Linked DNA regions of Mus musculus: all the other regions are reported to be linked to region 3. Evidence: microRNA targets listed by miRTarBase, many of them from high-throughput screens and not tested one by one. Region 3 holds a microRNA gene; each other region holds the end of a gene's coding sequence.
Evidence for each region. Region 3 holds the annotated microRNA mmu-miR-103-3p (AGCAGCAUUGUACAGGGCUAUGA, at 3,076-3,098, shown strand). A microRNA usually pairs through its seed, bases 2 to 8, with sites in the 3' UTR of a target mRNA and lowers its output. Matches are read on the target gene's strand: a 7mer-m8 pairs with bases 2 to 8, a 7mer-A1 pairs with bases 2 to 7 and ends in A, and an 8mer does both.

Region 1: the mRNA of Lyrm9 is a reported target of mmu-miR-103-3p. Seed matches in the 3' UTR shown: 7mer-A1 at 3,765-3,771, 7mer-A1 at 3,749-3,755 and 7mer-m8 at 307-313.
Region 2: the mRNA of Gpd1 is a reported target of mmu-miR-103-3p. The part of its 3' UTR that is shown has no 7-base or 8-base seed match.
Region 4: the mRNA of Mtf1 is a reported target of mmu-miR-103-3p. Seed matches in the 3' UTR shown: 7mer-m8 at 3,942-3,948, 7mer-A1 at 1,005-1,011 and 7mer-A1 at 715-721.

The regions. Positions count from the first base shown.
Region 1 is chr11:78,838,359-78,843,434 of GRCm38, reverse strand. It overlaps Lyrm9 (LYR motif containing 9), which reads right to left. Exons shown (of 4, transcript NM_001076681.2): 4 at 1-4,312. The coding sequence ends at 4,295. Among named protein-coding and RNA genes, the nearest start is that of Lyrm9, 14 kb to the right of the region's middle.
Region 2 is chr15:99,722,810-99,727,732 of GRCm38, reverse strand. It overlaps Gpd1 (glycerol-3-phosphate dehydrogenase 1 (soluble)), which reads right to left. Exons shown (of 8, transcript NM_010271.3): 8 at 2,719-4,542. The coding sequence ends at 4,446. Cox14 (cytochrome c oxidase assembly protein 14) reads right to left here and starts at 2,115. Exons shown (of 2, transcript NM_183256.3): 1 at 1,885-2,115; 2 at 1-88. The coding sequence starts at 80. Gm16537 (predicted gene 16537) reads left to right here and starts at 3,259. Exons shown (of 3, transcript NR_155353.1): 1 at 3,259-3,416.
Region 3 is chr2:131,285,028-131,290,103 of GRCm38, forward strand. It overlaps Mir103-2 (microRNA 103-2), which reads left to right and starts at 3,025; the gene lies at 3,025-3,110. It overlaps Pank2 (pantothenate kinase 2), which reads left to right. Exons shown (of 7, transcript NM_153501.2): 5 at 2,447-2,570.
Region 4 is chr4:124,843,495-124,848,570 of GRCm38, reverse strand. Mtf1 (metal response element binding transcription factor 1) reads right to left here. Exons shown (of 11, transcript NM_008636.4): 11 at 1-4,424. The coding sequence ends at 4,228. Among named protein-coding and RNA genes, the nearest start is that of 1110065P20Rik, 4.5 kb to the left of the region's middle.

The DNA.
Region 1 (5,076 bases), not on the chromosome of region 3:
ACTTTGGTGCATAAAACAAACACTCGGTAAAAATAAACAAACAGATAATAAATAAATAAATAAATAAATACCCTGTCCAGGCTCTTGCTGAGTGTCCTTCCTAGGGCTACCTCCACCATCTCTTTTTAAAGATTTTATTTATTATGTATACAGCATTCTGCCTCCATGTATGCTTGCAGGCCAAAGGGCACCAGATATCATTATAGTTGGTTGTGAGCCACCATGTGGTTGCTGGGAATTTAACTCAGGACCTCTGGAAGAGCAGCCAGTGCGCTTGACCTCTGAGCCATCTCTCCAGCTCCCAGGGCAGCATCTCTTGTTGAGTTCCTCCAAAACTAAAGATTGTCTAAGTCTTAATTACATTTCTAATTCTTAATTACATTTCTTCTACATTGTAGGAGACTACTTTGCAGGGAACACAGTACCTGGGCTAGTCATTTATAAAATTAGGAGCGTTGGTACATACTGGTATAAGCATGCTATATAATTTCTTTATTTTATGATAATTTTCTAAACTATTTGTATGCATGTGGGTGTGTGCACCTGAGTGGAGGTGCCTGCAGGGTCAGAGGTATTGGATCCCTCTGGAGCTGGAGTTACAGTCAGTTGTAAGCTACCAGATGTGGTTCTAACTCTGACTAATGCCAGAGCCGTAGGTGCTCTTAGCTACTGAGCTATGGCTCCAGCCCCAAAATAATGTATGCTTTAGATTACTGTTGTTTTTATGGTTATCACTGTGTGTGTGCATGATGTGTGAACGCAGGTGTGTGTATGCCACGTGTCTCATGTGGAGGTGAGAGGCATTGGTGTTCTCTTTGCTCCTTAACACAGAATCAGGGGATCAAACTCCAGTCGTCAGGTTTGCACAGCAGTGCCTGTTGGAACCATCTTGCCAGCCCCTAGGAGCTAAATCTTGCAGGAGCCAATTACCTCTCTTGGTTGATAGGGTAGCTTTGTTTACAATGAGGTCACATTACAATCCTTAACTAAAGCCCTCAAAAACACAGGAGATGCACTAGCTGGCTCCCCTACACCCCACTCTCACTAAATTCCTTGACCGATACTCGAACAAAACCAGAGAGAATTCGGTTTCTTATTAATAGAACAAAGAAGGGTGTGCATACGCCTGGATTCTACCTGTTGCACTTAGGTCAATAGCCAGGACCTGTAGCCAATCATATTCAAGGAGCAGAATGGCCTCAGCCTGTGAGATGAGGCACCTATGGAGGTTGGCACTGGATACTGTTCCATCTGTGCCTGGCTTCTGGCACTTGGGAGCCATCACTGGCCGCTATTCCACTGACTTCGGTCCTATGCTAACTTAACATGCTTGGGGAGGGGATCTTCTCCACACTGCCATTTCCATATCAAACTGATGCCACTCCATGGTCTACCCACTGCAGACAGAGCCCGTGCCACCGTTCTTGTCCCCATCCCATCAAGTAGGGCCAGCAACTGCAAAGCAACTCTGAAGTCAGACTTCCACCTGCCACCAGGTCCTTAAGAACAAGAAGGAAAGGCCTGTGAAGACAGCTCAGCACAATGAGTAAGATCTGCATTCAGACCCCTAATGCCCACAGAAAAGCTGGGCTCACTGGCACACACCTGAGGCCCGGGTGATGTGTGTGTGTGTGTGGCAGGAGAGAGCATGAGTTAGACCCCCAGAATCTGCAGGCTAGCAGTCTCATCAATCAGTGACCTGTGGGGAGAGACCCTGCCTCAGAATGCCAGGTACTGAGCAACAGAGGGGACAACCCATCATCAACCCCTGCTCTCCCTGTGCACACACAGGTATACACAGGTACTGGCACATGTGTGTGTGGACACTCACACACATACATGTGGACACTTACACACACACATGACTGGAGAAGACATCTTGGAGAGGGATCAAATATTAAGGACACATTCATGGAGATTCAGTTTTTCTCCCTCACTTTCTTTCTTTCTTTTTTTTTTAAAGTAGCCTTTTTCTTTATGTTTTCCTTTTTCTTTTTGTTTATATATTTTCTGGCCCTGCTTGCTCCGGCCTTATTTATTTTATAAATGTGAGTACACTATTGCTCTCTTCAGATACCAGAAGAGGGCACCAAATCCCATTATAGATGGTTGTGAGCCACCATGTGGTTGCTGGGAATTAAACTCAGGACCTCTGGAAGAGCAGTCAGTGCTCTTAACTGCTCTTCAGCCCTCTCCCTCACTTTCAACAAATGAAATAAGCCCGTCTTCCACCCTTATTTTATCAATAGGGAGACCCCACCAGATACAGGTCAATGTCCTATGTCATAGGGATAACCTGGCCACTGATCTGTATTGTGTTCTCTGAAACCACCCTCATAACAACGGGACCCCACACCCCTCTCACACTCCCTGTGAGTGGCAGCCCCAGCTCCTCAAATCAGTGTTAGTCCTTTCTCCTCAGCCCCATTCTAATGAACAACTCTGCCTAAGGCCAGGCATGGTGGCACACATGGCTACTCTACTGCCACGAACACCACCAGGTAAGGATTGGTCCCTGGGCTCAGATGGACTGGACAGCAGCAGTGGGGATGGAGGGACTGCGGCTTTGCTCTTGCCCTTTGCCTGGCAGTCATCTGGGAGCCCAAACCTGTGGCTCTGCTTGTCTCTGAGGAATGATCCTTCCAGGCAAGTGGGTGTCTGACTTACCCAAGTCCTTAGCGTTGTTTGACACACGTGTCGAGGGAACAATCCTATTCAGAGAACAGCAGTCAGGGAGAAACAATAGAGGGCTAGAGAGATGGCTCAGCGTGAGCGTGAGTGTGTGCGTGAGTGTGAGCGCTAACTGCTTGCAGAAGACTCAGGTTTGGTTCCTAACACTTACATCAGACAGCTCATACTGCCTATAACTTCAGTTCCAGGGAGCCCAATGTCCTCAGGCCTCTGAGGGCACCTGCACACACGTGGTACACACAAATAAAATAAAGATCTTCTTTTTTTAAAGAAGAAATAATAAGAGCCAACAGATGACTCAACAGATAGAGGCATTTGCCACCAAGCCTGATAGCCCGAGTTCAGTCTCTGGGACCCACATAGAGGAAGAAGTGAGCTGCATCCTGCAAACTGTCCTGACGAGCATTTATCAGCAGCAGCAGCAGCAGCAATGTGTTGTGGCACACCTGTATCTAAGTGCTTGGGAGGCAGAGACAGAAAGACTGCTGAAAGTTCAAAAGTTCAAGGCCTGCCAGTGTATACACTGAGATCCTGTCTGAAATAAATCAAAAGAGGAGGAAGAAAACTGTGAGCTTTCACAAGTGGACACACGTGCTTCGGGACTGTCCGCCCCTTCTGCTTAGACAGAGGTCACATCATCCCGCAGAACTGCAAGGGCACAGACAGGCACTAGCTCACCTGAGTGCCCCACGAACATTCAACCCCCAGTGTGGCCTCTCTGCATCTTCTGGCTACTTCGCCCACCTGGGCCACTTCCCCTTGGACCCAATCTCCTCTCCAGAGAGGACACACTGTGGAGCACGGAAGCCTGGACCTGCTGGTGTCTACCCTGCCTACTTGCACCTTATTGCTGGTCTAGTGTAGTAGATGTTTTCCCACTTCAAGGGTCAGGGTTTCTGCCTGGAGCATATTGGGAGGAAGCCGCTGCTTAACAGACTGACGGACACAGCATGGCACAGATAAGAGGGCGTGTGGACTCTGAGAGGAGACAAGACGCACTCACAGCTGAGTCACTGAACAGGACGAGGAGCACAGCGGCTTCCTCGCAAGGTCCCTGTGCAGCAAGGTCCCTGTGCAGCAAGGTCCCTGTGCAGGGAGCTGGTGTGAGCTGGCACGTGACTGCCGCCTCACCCCCCCAGGCTCACTCGGGCACCTGACAGATGGCGTGTATGCCGGCTGGGATTCAGATCCACAGCTGCCTGGTTCTCAAGCCCGTTCGTTTCTTTCTATACAGGTGGTCATCTGAGGGGACATCTCTCATGGGGCTGGGAGATCGGTGACGGGACCTCCAGAATAAATTAACTGCCTTCAGGGCAAAGTAAAAGAACAGATAGGCAAAAATGAGAAACACAGAGAAGAAGCAAAAAAACTCCAAATTCTCCCCAAATTGCATATCGTTTCTGTCTGGAAAAGCAGACATAAAAGACGCTGGAGACATGGCTGCAATGACGAGAACCACCTCACCAAATGTCAGTTACGATTTCTTGCTTTCAGCCAACAAGATCAAAGAATATTCCAGAACTGATGCTGTTCCAAGAGCAGAAGGCTTCTCAGTTCCAAGTGACTCCAGGGCAGCTAAGCGCTCGCCGTAAGCTCCAGACACTCAGTTTTGTTTCCTATACTGCAAGACAGAGAGATGAGAGACGGGTGAGGGAAGCCATGGGGGAGGGCTCTGTTGTGTCACACGGGCCTCTCCACGACTGCAGGGGTTTCTGGGAGGTGGTGAGACTCCATCGGGAGACCCTTCACCTTCACATCGAGTTGGTGCCTAGGCCCTCCTTCTTTAATGAAAAGGCTGGGAGGCCGAGGGCACTGGGACTAAGCATGGAACTCACCAGGGCTCGGCCTTATTCTGAATCTTGTTTGTGGGAGAAAAGTCCCAGGCAGAGGAGACCCTCAGACACCCAGGGTCCCCAGCCAATCATCGAGGCTTTCCTGCCTTTGTTTTGATTTTTCTGTCAGGGATAAGCCCCAGCGGCTTCTGCACTAGGCAAGCAGTCGACCACTGAGGTCAATGCCCTATCAAAATCTGTTTTTACAAAGTGGATTTTAAACCCCACATCTGGAGCGTCTGCGCTAGGACAACAAGGATCTGGGGGCACACTCCAGTTCTCCACATTCCTGGTGCCTTTATCCCACCTACAGTCTAGGTGTTGGTCCTAGACAGCAGCCTAGTCTTGATCAACTTCACACAAACTCGAGCCACCTGGGAAGAGGCACCCTCAGCTTCTACCGGATTGGCCTATAGGTGTCTGTGAGGTATTTTCTTAATAAATGGTTGATATGGAGGGCCCAGACTACTGTGGGTGGTACCACCACCAGGTCCTGGGGTGAATAGGGCAGCTGAGGGAGCCATGGGAACCAAGCCAGTTAGCCGGCTTCCTT
Region 2 (4,923 bases), not on the chromosome of region 3:
CCCCCATACACAGTGAGGAGCATCATCGAGGCAGAGAAGGTCTTGTAGCCGATATCGGCTAGCTGCTTGGCAGATGGCATGTCTTCCCCTACAAAGACAGATTGGAGTTGGTCTGCAGGATAGGCCTCTCCTCCTTCCCGGAGAGCCATTCCTTATTTTCATCTTCACGGATGCATCCTATGCTGGTGACTCCTGTGTGGCTGCTCTTAAAAGAGTTAAGCATGGGGCTGGTGAGATGGCTCAGTGGGTAAGAGCACCCGACTGCTCTTCCGAAGGTCCGAAGTTCAAATCCCAGCAACCACATGGTGGCTCACAACCACCCGTAATGAGATCTGATGCCCTCTTCTGGAGTGTCTGAAGACAGCTACAGTGTACTTACATATAATAAATAAATAAATCTTTAAAAAAAAAAAAAAAAAAAAAAAAAAAAGAGTTAAGCATGGCAGTTTCAGAGCTCTGACTCAAAACATCTACACCCGAGGTACAGAAGGCCGGAAACAGGTGTATATGATGCGATGCCATCAGAGCTAACACAGGCTCTCCTTATTTGTGCTTAAAAAGTGACCAGCCGGGGCTGGAGAGATGGCTCAGTGGTTAAGAGCACTGACTGCTCTTCCAGAGGTCTTGAGTTCAATTCCCAGCAACCACATGGTGGCTCACAACCATCTGTCATGGGATCCAATGCCCTCTTCTGGTGTGTCTGAAGACAGCTATAGTGTATTCATATACATAAAATCCAGAAATAAATCTCTTTAAAAAAAAAAAGTGACCAGCCCACCCAGACTATACTAGGAATCAAACCTGGGTCCTCTGGAAGAACAGCAAGGCTCTTAACTGCTGAGCCATCTCTCCAGCCTCAGAACCATATTTTAATCAGGCTACTTATTGTGGTAGTGAAATTCTCCCGAGAGAGGACCTGAAGATAGACTTGAGGATGTGTGTGTCTGGGGGATCCTGCCTGTAGAGTGCCAGAGTCACTTCGCCCTGGTGAAAAGCTAATTTCACCTTGTTCACTGATAGAGAAGATTTGAGTATGATTTAAAGTGGGATGTAACTCAGTGTAGCAGGCACAAAGCCAGAGGTTCAGTCCCCAGAACTGCATTAAACAGAGCATGTGGTATATGCTGGAAATCCCAGCACTCAGGATGTGGACATGAGACCCTGTCAAAAACAAAAAACAAAAAAACGGGGGGGGGGTGTGAAACAAAAAGAAGCAAATCCGAGATAACCTCAAAAACAAACAATAAAACCCTGAAGTTAGAAGCCCAGATACAAGGATTAACTTTGGAAATAAAAGAAACTCTTGAGACTGGCAGAAGGTTTTCATCTGATGGGCATCCTTTACAAAACAAATAAGGATCAAAGCCCTAAAACCACCCCAGCTTCTGTCATTTAGCCCTCTTTGGAGAGACTTGGTGTCCGCAGAAAACAACTTCTGACTAACGGAGCCCAGAAAGGTAAGCTATGAACCCCATATTCTGTAGGATCAGAGAAGGTGGTGAGGACCTCAGAGAAATAAGTGGCTTTGAGGGACCGTGAGGAGCTTTGGGGTTGAGGCGAGCAGTTTCAGAAGGGAGGACAGCCAGGCCGCAGTCACACCAGGAAGGCGGTCGGACTATGACAGCCGGGGAGCCAGCAGGGGCTAGCACAGCGCAGGGACTAGGAGCCGCGCGCTCTCAAGGGCACAGGCCGAGGACGCGCGGTGCGGGACACAGGGGAGCGGAGGGGAGCGCGGTGCGGGGCACAGGGGACAGCAGGGACTCGGAACGGGGAGCAGGGGAACAGCGTGAAAAGCGGCGACACGGGGAGCAGGGGGCGCGGTGCGCCGAGCAGGAGAGCGTGGGGGGAGGGCGAGTGCGCTTGGCCGTCCGGCCCGCGGCCTACCTGGAGGCTGCAACTCGGCCGCGTCAGAGCGATGCCTGCTCAGTCTGCCACTCGCAGAGTCGCGCGGCCGCCGCAGGGCAGGAAGAGGCAGTCACCAACGCGCAGCTCCTCAGCCACTGGTGCTCAGCCCCGCTCCGGACCCGACACCCCCTGCGAAAACTCGCCCACTAAAGCGAGAGCCAGCCTTGAACTTCCGGCTTCTACCTCTCTCTTACGCACGCTCAGTCTAGCCTTCCTCTCGGAAAGGCCCATTGAATTCTGGGGGGTGTGGTTCTGGTCCATCAAGAGCGCTCCTTGGAAAACGGGAAAAATTTTAGCTCAGAATTAGCCAATCCGCAGTCTAAGTTCAGTGACGTAAACTGTAGCTAGGTAGATCCTCGGAATTCTCCAGCGATGGGCCTAGCGCCCCCTACCGCCTGGAGCGGCCCTTTACAGGGTGATCCGGAGGAACCGACCTTAGCTGGACCAGCACTAGTGAGGCCACAGAATGGGTGTAGGGGGTGAGTCGGGGGATGGGAGGGTGACTCGCTAATATTTCTGCCTTGTGCGCGACCTCCTCGTAGGCAGGCAACGTGACAGACCCTGTAAGAAGCGCTGGGAAGACTGGCTGACAGCTTGGGTGGAAGAGGGGATACGAAGCACAAAAGGGGACGGGGGTGGGGTGGGGGGGTGGAGGTGGGGGCTGTGAGCAGAGTGGACGCCAATGCCGATTGATGCCCGAGTGTGGCTGCTATTAAACAAGGATGATTTTTTCCACTTCTTGTCTTACATTGAGTAAAACATGCATGCAGTGATACATGACCCCACACACTGCCACATAAACTCCCCCAACTCTTCCAGTTTCTGGAAAAACCACACTTTATTGGGTAGACAAGTGGCCTGACAGAAGACCTCAGATTCACAGTTGACTGACTGAGCAAACATAGGTTAAGGTGTTGGAATCTGTCTGCATCCCGCCCCAGTCTCCCGGGGAACAGCTCTGAATTGAGTCATGCGTGGGAGGGTTCCAGCCCAGTCGGGATCGATGACAGGGCCCCCCCTCTTCCCCTTACCCGACAGCTCTGACCTTCACTAAGACGGAATTCTTAAAGGCTAGGAGCAGAGAGGGACCTGGCACCTTAATGTGTTAGTTTAATATCAAGCTGGCCAGAGCCACGGTGTCCCAGTTGCTGCCACACAGGAAATGGAGACCCCTGGTGGAGAGAGAAACCTCCAGCTATTTATAGCTAGCGCTCCAGGCTGCTGATCTGTGACATTCTCTTGCTGCCACCCAACTTTGGAACAGGGCCAGTGCAAAGCAGTCTCCCATCCCCCTCTGATCTCCCTCACCCCAGGGCAGGCAGTTTTCAATTGTCCTTCCCTCGAGTTCCCCAGCTCCTGAGGTGTGTGGGTCCGATCTCGCGAGGACCTTGTTCTGTTCCGAGGACAGCTGGCCTTGGACTAGGACCCACCAACCCTTGTGGAAACCTACTGAACCTTTGAGCTGCTCCTTAGTTCTAAGCCTACAGATGCCGGGTGGCCTTCCAGGCTGGGTGAGAACGACTTGGGCAAAAGGAAAGGGCAGAGTCAAGAATATGGGCTGACAGCCCTGAGGACGATAAACTATAAATCCTACATTCTGTTAGACGTGAAGTTGGTGGTGACTGCAGAGAGAAGCGGCCTTGTGGGGAGGACCCTGAGAAGAAAGGTCAGCAGTAGGAGGGGCTGGCCGGGGCCGGAGCTCCTGACTGGGGAGGTGGACAAATAGGAAGGTCAGGGGAGCCTGAGCCATCTGAGCCTGCTGTGAAAAGAGTGTAGCTCTGTCAGCAGATTAGATTCCTGCTCCCCAAAGAGGGTGCTGGCAGCTGGGTGCAGGCAAGGGAAAGCTGGGAAAGGTCACACAGGGTGGGGAGGCCCTGACAAAGCTCCAGGAACCAGGAAGTCTCTGGGAAGAATGGAGCGCCCCAGGGCCAGAGATGCCTGTGGAGAGCAACTCTTGTGCCAGAGTAGCCTGGGGGAGGGGGAAGTAGAGGCTTCTGAGGAAGCAAGTGTTGCTAGGAGAAGTTAGAGTGGGGTTGTTTGAGAGCTTTGTATTTTGTTAGCAAACAGTGAGATCGTTGATGTTGTGTGGGGCCTGGCAGAGGTCGGCCAAAGGGTCTCTGGGGTCTGTGTCAGCTCAGGCATCCAGACCCTTCCCTTGGCAGCCTTTGCCCCATCTTTCCTGTGGCTGAAGTGCTTCTTCAGTCACTTAATGGGACTTGGGACCGGTTCCCAGTGTGTGTGAGGCAGCAACCGGCAGCCCTTGACTTGGCGCCTTCCCTTCCCCCAACCCCACCCCTGGAGCAGGCACCACTGGGGCTTAGTTCTACACTTCCCAGAGGACAGCAAGGAAGTGTGGATTCTGTGGCGAGCATCTCTAGGTGTGTAGCTGAGCCCCGCAGCCTCCTGTCCTCAGGGTCCTTCAGAGAGGACTCTGCTAGATGGGGAGTCCTGGAGACAGTCCTGATGACGGGTGTCACGTGCTTCCTTCCGCTTGTCTCCGTTGGGGCAAAGGGGCTGCCTGTCCTGGGCCCTGGCCCCATTCACATGTGTTCCGGGTGGTTCTGCAGACAGCGGATGAATTCGCCCACTGGCTGGCCCTCATAGCACACTTTGTACACCGCAGTGAACAAGGGGAACCTAGAGAAAAAGAGCCTCAGCTTCACTCCCTACACACAGTCCACCCTCAACATGCATGCCCACCCAGGTCCAGACTCAGTGCTAGCTCACCACTTCCCTAGCCTCCCGCAGTGGGAGTTCAGCCAGAAGCCAGCTCTCTGTTGCTACCTGCCAGGAATCTGAATTCCTGGCCCTGGGATTTGGGGTCAGGTTGCCATCCACTCTGATCTTTAGCATTCTGCACTTGCTTGACTCAGTCGCATGCAGGCTTTAAATATTGTTTGGTTTTTAACAAGTAAACCATTCAATTCTCTGGACCTCAGTGTCACCGGTTGTAAAATGGGTCCAGTATGATAAAGTAGCAAAGATGTAGTTTATGTTCTATATACTGGTATACTAAGC
Region 3 (5,076 bases):
ATACTCACTCTTACATGGTGTTTCTCACTTGGTCCAGCTGACCCATCTGCTGAGACTGCTTTCCCTAGTCTTTTGAGCCCTTTGTTAGCAAATCAGTTGACTGTAGATGTTTCAGTTGAATTCTCTCTTTTTTTTTAAAGATGTATTTATTGCCGGGCAGTGGTGGTGCACGCCTTTAATCCCAGCACTTGGGAGGCAGAGGCAGGCGGATTTCTGAGTTCGAGGCCAGCCTGGTCTACAGAGTGAGTTCCAGGACAGCCAAGGCTATACAGAGAAACCCTGTCTCAAAAAACCAAAAAAAAAAAAAAAAAAAAACAACAACAAAAAACAAAACAACAACAACAACAAAAAGATGATGTATTTATTGTTATATGTAAGTACACCGTAGTTGTCTTCAGACACACCAGAAGAGGGCGTCAGATCTCATTACAGATGATTGTGAGCCACGATTTGAACTCAAAACTTTTGGAAGTGCAGTCAGTGCTCTTAACCACTGAGCCATCTCTCCAGCCCTCAGTTGAATTTTTGATTCTCAGTCCTGTACATTTGTCTTTAGAGAAGTACCATGTTCCCTTGCTTACCGCAGCCTTGCACTAAGTTTTTAGGGGAAGGTGGCAGAGGTACAGGGCACACTTCTCTAACTTGCTCTACCTTTCCACAATTATTTTGGCTGCTTTGAATTCTTTGACTTTCTATATGAATTTTAGTATCAACTTGGTAATGTCTGTAAAGAAGATAGCTAGGATTTTAATAGGGATTGTATTGAATCTGTTGACCAGTTTGAAGAGTAAATTTTCTTTTAATTTCTTTTAATCTTAATTTTCTTTTCAATTTTTCTTTTTAATTATTTTAAAAATTTGTGTTTTTCTTGGATGTTTGTATGTATACTCACGGTGTGCCTGGTGGTCGTGAGGTCACAAGAGGATATCGATCTGGAAACACAGTTATGAGCCTTCATTTGGGTGTTGGGAATAGAACCTGGGTCCTTTAGAGCAAGTGTTCTTAGCTGCTGAGCCATCTCTATAGACCTGAGTGTTACCAGCTTAACACTGTCAAGTCTTTGGTTCAGGAAGATGGACTTCTTTCCATTTCTTTAGGTGGTGGTTGTCTTTAAACTGCAAAAGATTTTAGTACACAAGCATTATATTTCTTTTGCTAAGTAAATGCCTATTTAGTTCTCTTTAATTCTATAAAAAGTGGAAGTCTTTTTCTCTGTCTTCCTCATGCTGTTTTTGAGTCAGGATTTCACTGTGAAGCCCAGGTCTGTCTTGGTCTTTCAGATGCTGAGATGCTGGCCTGTGCCACCATGCTTAGCATGGGCCTTTCTATATTTTATTTTGTTTATTTAGGTATGTAGTTTTTAAAAATAATTACTTTTATGTGTATGGGTGTTTTACCTGAATTTATATCTGTGTAACATGTGTGTGCCAGGTACCCATGGAGACCAGAAGAGGGCATCAGATTTCCTAGGACTGAAATTAAATACTTACAGACACTTAGCTGATATGTGGGTTCTGGGAACTGAAAGGGTCCTCTGGAAGAGCAGTCAGTGCTCTTACACTGAGCCAGTTTTCCAGCTCCCCTACGTATGCAATTTTTGTATTTTTGTGTTAAGAGCACATGTGTTTTCTGTTTTGTTCTGTTTTTGAGTCCAGGTCTCACTATGTAGCCCTGTCTAGACTTTAACTTGCTATGCAGACCAGTCTCTCCTTAGACTCTCAGAAATCTATCTGCCTCTGTCTCTTAAGTGCCAATTAAAGGTGTGCGCCACCATGCCCAGCAGAGTACTTGGTTTTTAATAATAGAAAAGGCATTCATGTGCAAGCTGGGAAATAGGCACTGGATAAATAAAATAGATTGTTTTTTTGGCAGCATTTGATCACTGGTCATCTCTTCCTTATTCTTGTCCTTGGGTTTGGGTCATAGTTACTATTGTAGCCCTTTTGCTGGTCAAGAAATTTGAAGTCTTTTATTTACTTTCTAGGGCAGCCTGGAACTTTAGTAGCCACTGTGGGCCTCAGCTGTTTTGTACTTTGTGTGCTGATCAAATGAGTTTTCTAGACTAGATGTAACTGTGACTGTCTGAGTAGAACAGTTGCACAGTAGCGATGACCTGCCAGTCAGGTATGTCTCCCTGGAATACTCCGTTGTTAGATCAGGCAGTGCTACCTTTCGGAAATTGTACTGAATGCACTTGGATAGGGAACTATCTGGTACCAAAGTTGAATTTTAGTATGACAGGGAATGCTACCTGTTCATTTAGAGTGTAATTTGTAGGCTTTTTTTTTTTTTTTAACTGAGTTCCTTTCAGTGGATGCTCCCATCATTCTGTAATAAAACAGAAAGACTTGATGTAAAGTCATTTTATCATAGTAAAGTAACATTGAAGTTCTCCTGGACTGTGTTGCCTTTGTTTCAGCAGTGAAATGTTTTTCCTCCACCACAGTTTTGGAAACATGATGAGCAAGGAGAAGAGAGAGGCGGCCAGTAAGGAGGATCTTGCCAGAGCAACTTTGATCACCATCACCAACAACATTGGCTCCATAGCAAGAATGTGTGCCCTTAATGAAGTAAGGGCACATGAGATTGTTCTGTTCACTCTAGGGAAATGCTGACCTTCCTAAATGGGTCCTACCCTGACCTTACAGTGTCTGTCTTCTTAAAACGTGCCCAAATGTAGTTATATGGGGTAGACTTGAAATGTGAACTTTACACTCTTCAGATTCCTCCTCCTCTTCATTGATTGTCCTCCCATTCCCCACCATACTCCTTGTCTCTTCCTGAAGATAAGCACTACTGCAAGAGGTGAATGGTTTCTTTGAGGAGACTCTAGAGGGGGCCAGGAAGAAGGCCAGTCTTGAGCTACTGATGGGATGAATGACGGGTCACAATGGTGACTAGACGCTGTGTTTGCTGGGTGCTGTTGAGGTGTGGACAGGAAGCCACAGGAAGCCACTGGAGCTGGGAGAAGACTGAGCGGTCAGAGGAAGGCCCACCTTGGTTCTTCTCCACCTCAGCAGAGCTGTCTTCGTGCTTTCAGCTTCTTTACAGTGCTGCCTTGTAGCATTCAGGTCAAGCAGCATTGTACAGGGCTATGAAAGAACCAAGAATGGGCTGCCCTTAGGGAAAGAGGATCTAGGATCCAGTTGGTGCAGCTTATGGCTTGTCCCTATTTATACACTTTGGTTTACAATAATTCTTTTAATAATATAGGCATGTGCCTTAAAAAGAGACCTCAAGACCTAAAAGGATTTGTCTAAATTTTAATTTATTTAGAAGTTATTAAACACCAGATTTTAAAAATTCCATCTTCATTTGAATAACATCACTCTTATATGTTTGCTTTCCTGGGCTTAAGTATCAAAAACTTTTAGTTGTTGTGCATACATTTTATGCTTTTAATTGAAATACATGGTTTGTGGCTACATTTTGTTTATGTGAATACATGTGTATACATGTGTAGGTGTGGAGGTTAGAGGTCAACCTAGGGTGTTTCTCAGGTTCTGTCTACCTTGTTTGTTTTATTTTATTTTGGTTTTGGCTTTTTGAAACAGGTTTTCTCTGTGTAGGCCTGGCTATCCTGGAACTTCCTTTGTATACTAGACTGGCCTCCAGCTCAGACTTGTGTGCTTCTGTTTCCCAAGTGCTGGGGTTAAAGGTGTGTATTACCACTGCCCGGCTTTTTATTTTTAAACTGGTTAAGGACCTCAAACTCCTAGAGACCTTGCTGTGTCTGCTTCCCTAGTGCTGGGATTAAAGGTGTATGCCACAATGCCTGGCTCACCTTAGTTTTTGAGACAAGGTCTCTCACCAGTTGAAACTTGTTGATTAGGCTGGGTAACTGTCCAGTGAATCCCTAGGATCTGCCTGCCTCAATTTCTAGCGCTGGGATTATAAATGTGCCAATGCCACTGCTTTCCTATGTGGACTCGGGAATTCCACTCAGCCTCATGTTCACATGGAAGCACTTTGCTGACTAAGCTATCTTCTGAGGTCATCACTGTATATTTGATCAGATTCTTATTTTGTCATAATTATTTAAATAGAGTTGGGCATTTGGTTTCTTGGAAGTAGGGACTGTGGTAAGTATTTAGAAGTATGAGCCTGTTCTTTGGCTGTTTTATTCTTGATATGGGGCTTTCTTGGGAGCAAACCTTGTGATCCTACATCGTGATTGTACTTAATGAATCCTAGTAGGTTACCAAGGGGTTTTGCACAGGTGTGTGCCCATTCAGAGCAGCATCTTTAGCATTGATGGCTGGACAGCTTTACTGATGCTGTGGGTGGAATTTCACTCTGTTAAACAGCTGTAAGATTTTGCTTTCTTGGTTCACAGATGAAGGTGAATTGTTTTTAACTGTCCCATACTTTGCATAATTTGTTATTTTGTGTCATGTCCTGTTTGGGTAATTTTTCTCCTTGCTCTGACCAAATCCCTGACAAAAGTCACTTAGGAGCAGGATTTACTTTGGCTGACAGGTGAGAGTATAGACTGTCATGGTAGGGAAGGCATGGTGGTATAGTCACTTGGGGCAAAGTGTGACGCTGTTTATTTATATCTGAATATGCTAGGGAACAGATGAATGCTGGCTCTCAGCTGGTATGTCTCTTCTCCCCTTTTTTTCAGTGTAGGATGGTATTACCACATTCAAGACAAGTCTTCTTAATTACTCCTCTACACAAGACACAGCCAAAGGTCTGCCACACTAATGCTCTGGGTGCTTCCTACTCCAGTTATGCTGACAATCAGTATTGCCCATCTCAAACTTATGCCTTGTTAACTTGGCACCATATACCTCACTTTAATACTCCACTTCTCACTGTTAGTGTCTCATTTTGTCATCAGAGTACATGCTGTCTGAGTGTCCACAGTCTGTCTGCCACATTACTTGTGCTCCTCAGCAACTAGTTTTGTCTTTCATTGAACCTTCTTCTACCCCAGATCTTCCACCTACTTTGATGTTTTTGGTTTTTGTTGTCATTGTGTTGTTTTTGGACCACTGCATTTAATTGGAGTTGCTTGCATAGGTAGGGCATTGTCTACTTGAGTAAGGCAACTTGGTTCTGAAGCTGGAC
Region 4 (5,076 bases), not on the chromosome of region 3:
AAAAAGGTTGTACTATAATATAATTTGACAGATCCAATTAAACTTGCATTTTCAACGCAGACTGAGAAGCCCTCAAGCCGCCAGAACAGTGAGAGATGCCTGGGCTAATGACCAACCTCCCCAAGAGCAGGGGCATAAGAAACAAGATCCAAGAATATGCAAGAAACAGACCAATCAGAAATATGTATGATCCAGTTTTATGGCTCATCCCCTTCTGCCTCAGAGGAGAGATGGACAATTTCCCATCTGTGTCACAGCACAACCACTTGCAAACTTCATCTGTGAAAATCTTGCACTGGCTGGAGTATATTTAAAATGCCTCTACAGTTGGGAATTTAAGAGTAAGTGGGAGCCGGTGAGGGAGGTCATTAACGGCTTCCTAAATGGATTTGATGAAGCGTGGAAGTCATTCTGCTTTTGAGCCAACAGAGGTGGTGCAGAGAGCCTTCCGACATATTTCTGATTGGGGCTGTGAAAAAGCTGTAAATTCGCGACAGTAGTGCACTTCCACACACCAACAGTCTCAGTGACACTGGAGACGCTTCCCTTCAATGGATGTGTTTACAAATATGAAAGTCTAAAGGTGCCAGGTTTCTACCTAGGAACAACCGACCCTTCCTTTCAGGAATCATTTTGTTCTGGGGAAGAGGGGAAAGAGCAGGGGACGGCGGAGAAGCAGTTGAAAAGGGGCCTCAACAGTCAGAAGAAAACAGCTGCAGCAGTTCCTTGGAGGGCCTGAGGGGGGCGCCCCGGACACACAGGAAGGCTTGCATAGATTGAGCAGCTGCTGAGATGCTGATAGTGGTTCCCTGTGGCCAGCTTCAGCACAGGGCTGATGGAGCAGAAGGCCAGGCCAGGGCCACGTGGGATAGCGACTGTCAAGCTACGCATATATTGCACCCAAGTAAGTGCTCTTTTTACACCTCAACTTAACTTTTATTCTGAGCAAAAAATAAAACTTTGGGGAAAGTATATATATGTATATATACATACACAACAGAAATTGCAGCAATTGGGTTAAAGATAAAAGTAACCTAAAGTGCTTTTTATTTTATTATTTAAAATATCAATATGAGGTTCTGCAAATTTGTCCCTCTGGACACATTCAGCATAATACAAAGCCTCAGGCAAAACTCAGGCACCTCCATTACCCCATCAGCCCACTGCCTTGATCCGGAAAACAACCTTTTCCCATCCACTGACTCTGAAAGGGAAGGGGAGTCCCATTGCCTTCTACCTAGAGGGCTCTCCACACCCCAAGCCTCTCCTTGGCATTGTACCATCATCTTATGAACCAAAGTCAACAGAGGACAGTACTCCTGTGGCCAAACTAGTGCTGCCCAAGGGCACTGAGCTCTCTTCTCTCAGCCTTACCCTCCTGCCTGGGAAGGACCACATTTATAAGGCAATTGGGTGGGACCAAGATCACCTGACCACCTCCTAGGTCCATCAGCCCTGCTGCCAACTAGTCTCTTGGAAGAGGCTAAACTGGAGATGCTAGTGGTAACCCAAGTCTCGTCTACAGGGTGACAGTGGTGATGGCTGTCGTGGAAGGAAAGGCTTAATCGACTTGCCAGAATTCACTCTTCTTGGCCTTACCCTAAGGTCATTCCCTGGCGAAACCACTCCATGAAGGGTCTTCGTGGTTCTAGTTTAGCCAGGAGGTTCCCTCTTCTCCAAGGTCCTTAGCATTAGAGGCTGGGCTTGTGGAAAGATGGGGGAAGGACCACTGGTACAAGCATGGCCGAAGCGTCTGTCTACCCTGTTTCACACATTGGCTCTCCACAACCACCAACTGCAAGCAGAGTCCTCACTTTCCAAAACCTCTTAGGTTCTGAGAGTCTCTTGTGTTCTAAAATCACTTAGCTCCTTCACCTAGCAACACTTCAGCCTCAACACTGCTCAAATGTTTCTTCACCATGCCAACTGTGGAGGGTGAAAAGCCAATAACCTAGGAATGGACCATTAAGAGCACAGCCCTAGCAAACCAAGAAGCCATATTTAAACCATTGAAACCTTCCATACATCCTCCCTAGGCTCCTGTTTCCTATGTCAGCTCCCAGGGTGTCATAGGCAGAGTGAGTGGGAGGGCCATTACTACCCCTTGTTACAAGCTCACTTTGGGGGTCCCATTCACTGCTCTCCTCAGAGAAGAGAAACGAGTGAGGGCCCGAGTGCAAAGCTTCCTGTGAGTGCAAGTCCTAGAGACAGCTGAGGACAATCTACACCCAAGCAGCTGGTTCCCAGAAGGACTAACCACGGCGCCAACAGGGGGCTCCTCACACCGTGCAGATTCCTGCTGAGGTCTATGGTTGCCCAAATCCATCAACCTTTTTTGGGTGTGTGTGGGGTGTGGGGGTGTAGAACATCAGAAATTCATACTCCTGGTCCAATCCTGGAATGGGAGATCAGCTGCTTGTACCTGTGCCATTTCTCAATAGTGCTGCCATGACCCTCTTGGCCAATTGTCCCTAAATACCTTGCCTAAAGACAAGGGTCACCATCCTAGCTGGCTCTGAGGAAAGGTCCAGACTGCAGGAGGGCAACCTACACAGCTCTCTGGTTGTCCTGTTGGGGCACCAGACCCTGCTCTTTGCTGGAGACAGACGCCTCCTCCAGTCCCAGACCCAGCTACCTTCTGACCTTGCCAAGCACTGATGGCTACAGTAAACAGCCGAAGGACAGCCACACCCCCATTCTCCTATAGATTGTACTTATGTTTGAAGAGGCAATAACCAGGAGCCAAAGGCAAGGAGATGGGTATAATTTTATACACTAATAAAAAAAAATTCCTGTAACACAACTCAACAAAACATTCCAAATGAGGTAAACTGACTGCAAGCTTCAGGCTTTTTGGTGGAAGGGGTTTGTTTGTTTGTTTTACCCTGAGTAGAATATCATCATTTTAGGTTTTTATTCCTTTTTGTTTAGAGATCACATCTTCCTTTGCACTGTATGAGGCTGTATGCAAATCTAAGAGACATGAGACATGCAGCTGGGAGAGGATAACCAAAGCCTGGCTACAACTGGGTACCAGAATGCCTGCCGACCACCTGCTGCCTCACCATCTAACTCCTTTAGCTCTGCACTTTCTCTGGAAAAGCAGCCCTTCTGCTCTGAGGAAGCAAACATCATCGAAGGCAGGAAGACCCTGGCAGCCACTGGCCAGAAGCCTCTCATTCACTTTAGGATAAAACAGGGCGCTTCCGTAGGAGAGATGAACTTCAAGCCTCAAGCACTAACAAGCACTGAGAGATGGAAAGAGCCAAGAAGGCAAGACTGTGGCTGTGCTAGATAGCTCTAGGGTCTAGCACATTATCAACAGAGCTGTCAACAACTGCCTCGGGGCCCTGCAGAACCACATCTTCCCTCTGGCCAGGAGGCCTGCAGCTGCCCGCTAGGACTAAGCAGGACACAGGGCAGCCCCCTCTGCATCTACCCCAAGCTCCACAGAAACCAAGTGCCAACAACAAAGCAACTCACCCAGTCTAACTCACGCCTGCCCTTGCCACTCCCCGCTTTCATAGAGCGGTGGTCTGGCCCTCCAGGTACTGCCTCGGATTAAACAGACACAGAAGAGAAGCAACACCCGGCAGGCACAGTGGCCTCTCCTGCCCAATCCACAGTGACCCCAGTGCAAATGATGGGCAGTACCAAAGTGATGGAAACCACACCCTTTCATTTAGAACTTTTATGCATACACGTAACCTTAGTTTCCAAGTTCACATAACAATAAGCAAAAGTGACACACAGTGCAGCCAGACAGTTCACTTATAACTTAGCTTTTTTTTTTCTTTTTTTGTTTTTGTTTTTTGTTTTTTCCTCCAAAGATCAGTTCCTTAAAATGGATGTTCCTGGGATACGAGTAAAGAAAATACGTCTGAAAGGTGAGCTTTCAGATGGCAGATTTCTTCATCCTTCCAATTTCTGACCCCATGACGGCAGCATCACAGCCGGTACTTCCTGCTCACCCTGTTCCTGGAGGGGTGTGCGCACAGGCCCTTCCCCTGGAGAAGCTGCCGGCCAGGCTCTTTCCTCTACCCCTGCAGTAGTGCTTCACTGTGAACCGGATTGGACGGGGTGTCCAGGCTCTGGAGGGACAGGAACTCTGACACATCCATGGCACTTAACGTTTCGGAGGGTCTGAGGAGCCTCAGCCTGTCTGCTGTGCTCACAGGAAGAGGGTCCAGCGGAGGGGGGGGGGGGGGGCAGGGATGAGGGAGAAGTCTAGGGTGGCAGCTGCAGGCTGGGCCCATCAGGAGGCTGGGGGTTCGGCTCTGGAGGGGGTGGGGAAGAACATCCCTTTCTCCGGCCGGCCGCCCGCTCCTTCGCAGAGTCCCGGCACGCGCACTGACACTGACAGGCCTCCTCTTGTTTGATGATGATCACAGGAACACTGAGGCCAATCTGCTGAACAGAGCTCCCTGTGAGAGAGGCGAGAGAGACTGCTCTTCAAGTGGCCAGGAACAGGCATGAGGGGCAGGGGAGTAAGGTAAGGACGGGGGGGGGTGGGGGGGGGGGTGGGGGGGGGTGGGACCTGACTGCTGGGAGGCAGGAGTGACAGACAGGAGAGACGCCATGCTTTGGCTTTTGCTATGCTGGTCCGGGTTCTTTCTCAGGGAAAAAGCCTGTGCGGATTCTCCCATCCACGATGATGCTTCCTTCTTAGAAGACTCACCCACATCATCTAGATGCACCCTGTCCTCTGTGCCGCGTCTGCAGCCACAGCAGACGCCACCCTTCTTACTCTGAGCCCTCCCTTTTGCTTAAACTTGCTTGGGGCAGACAGTGCCCGCATCTTTCAAGGACCAATTCGCTCCCTGTTCTCTTCCTGCCCCAGGTGGTGACCCCTGACTAACCACTGGAGGCAGTACTGAGCACCAGGCGCATGCACACAGCATTGCTGCTTGCATTCCATACCCTCTCCACACAGCACAGGACCTGCTCTGACCCCAGCTCCTGAGGTCATTGCACTTCTCTATGTGGCTCATGTTTGACGTGTGGGAGATGTCGAGTGGACTGATCTCCTCCCCAGCCAGCCTGGAATGTGTGCCCGTTCGTATCCATTCGCATTTC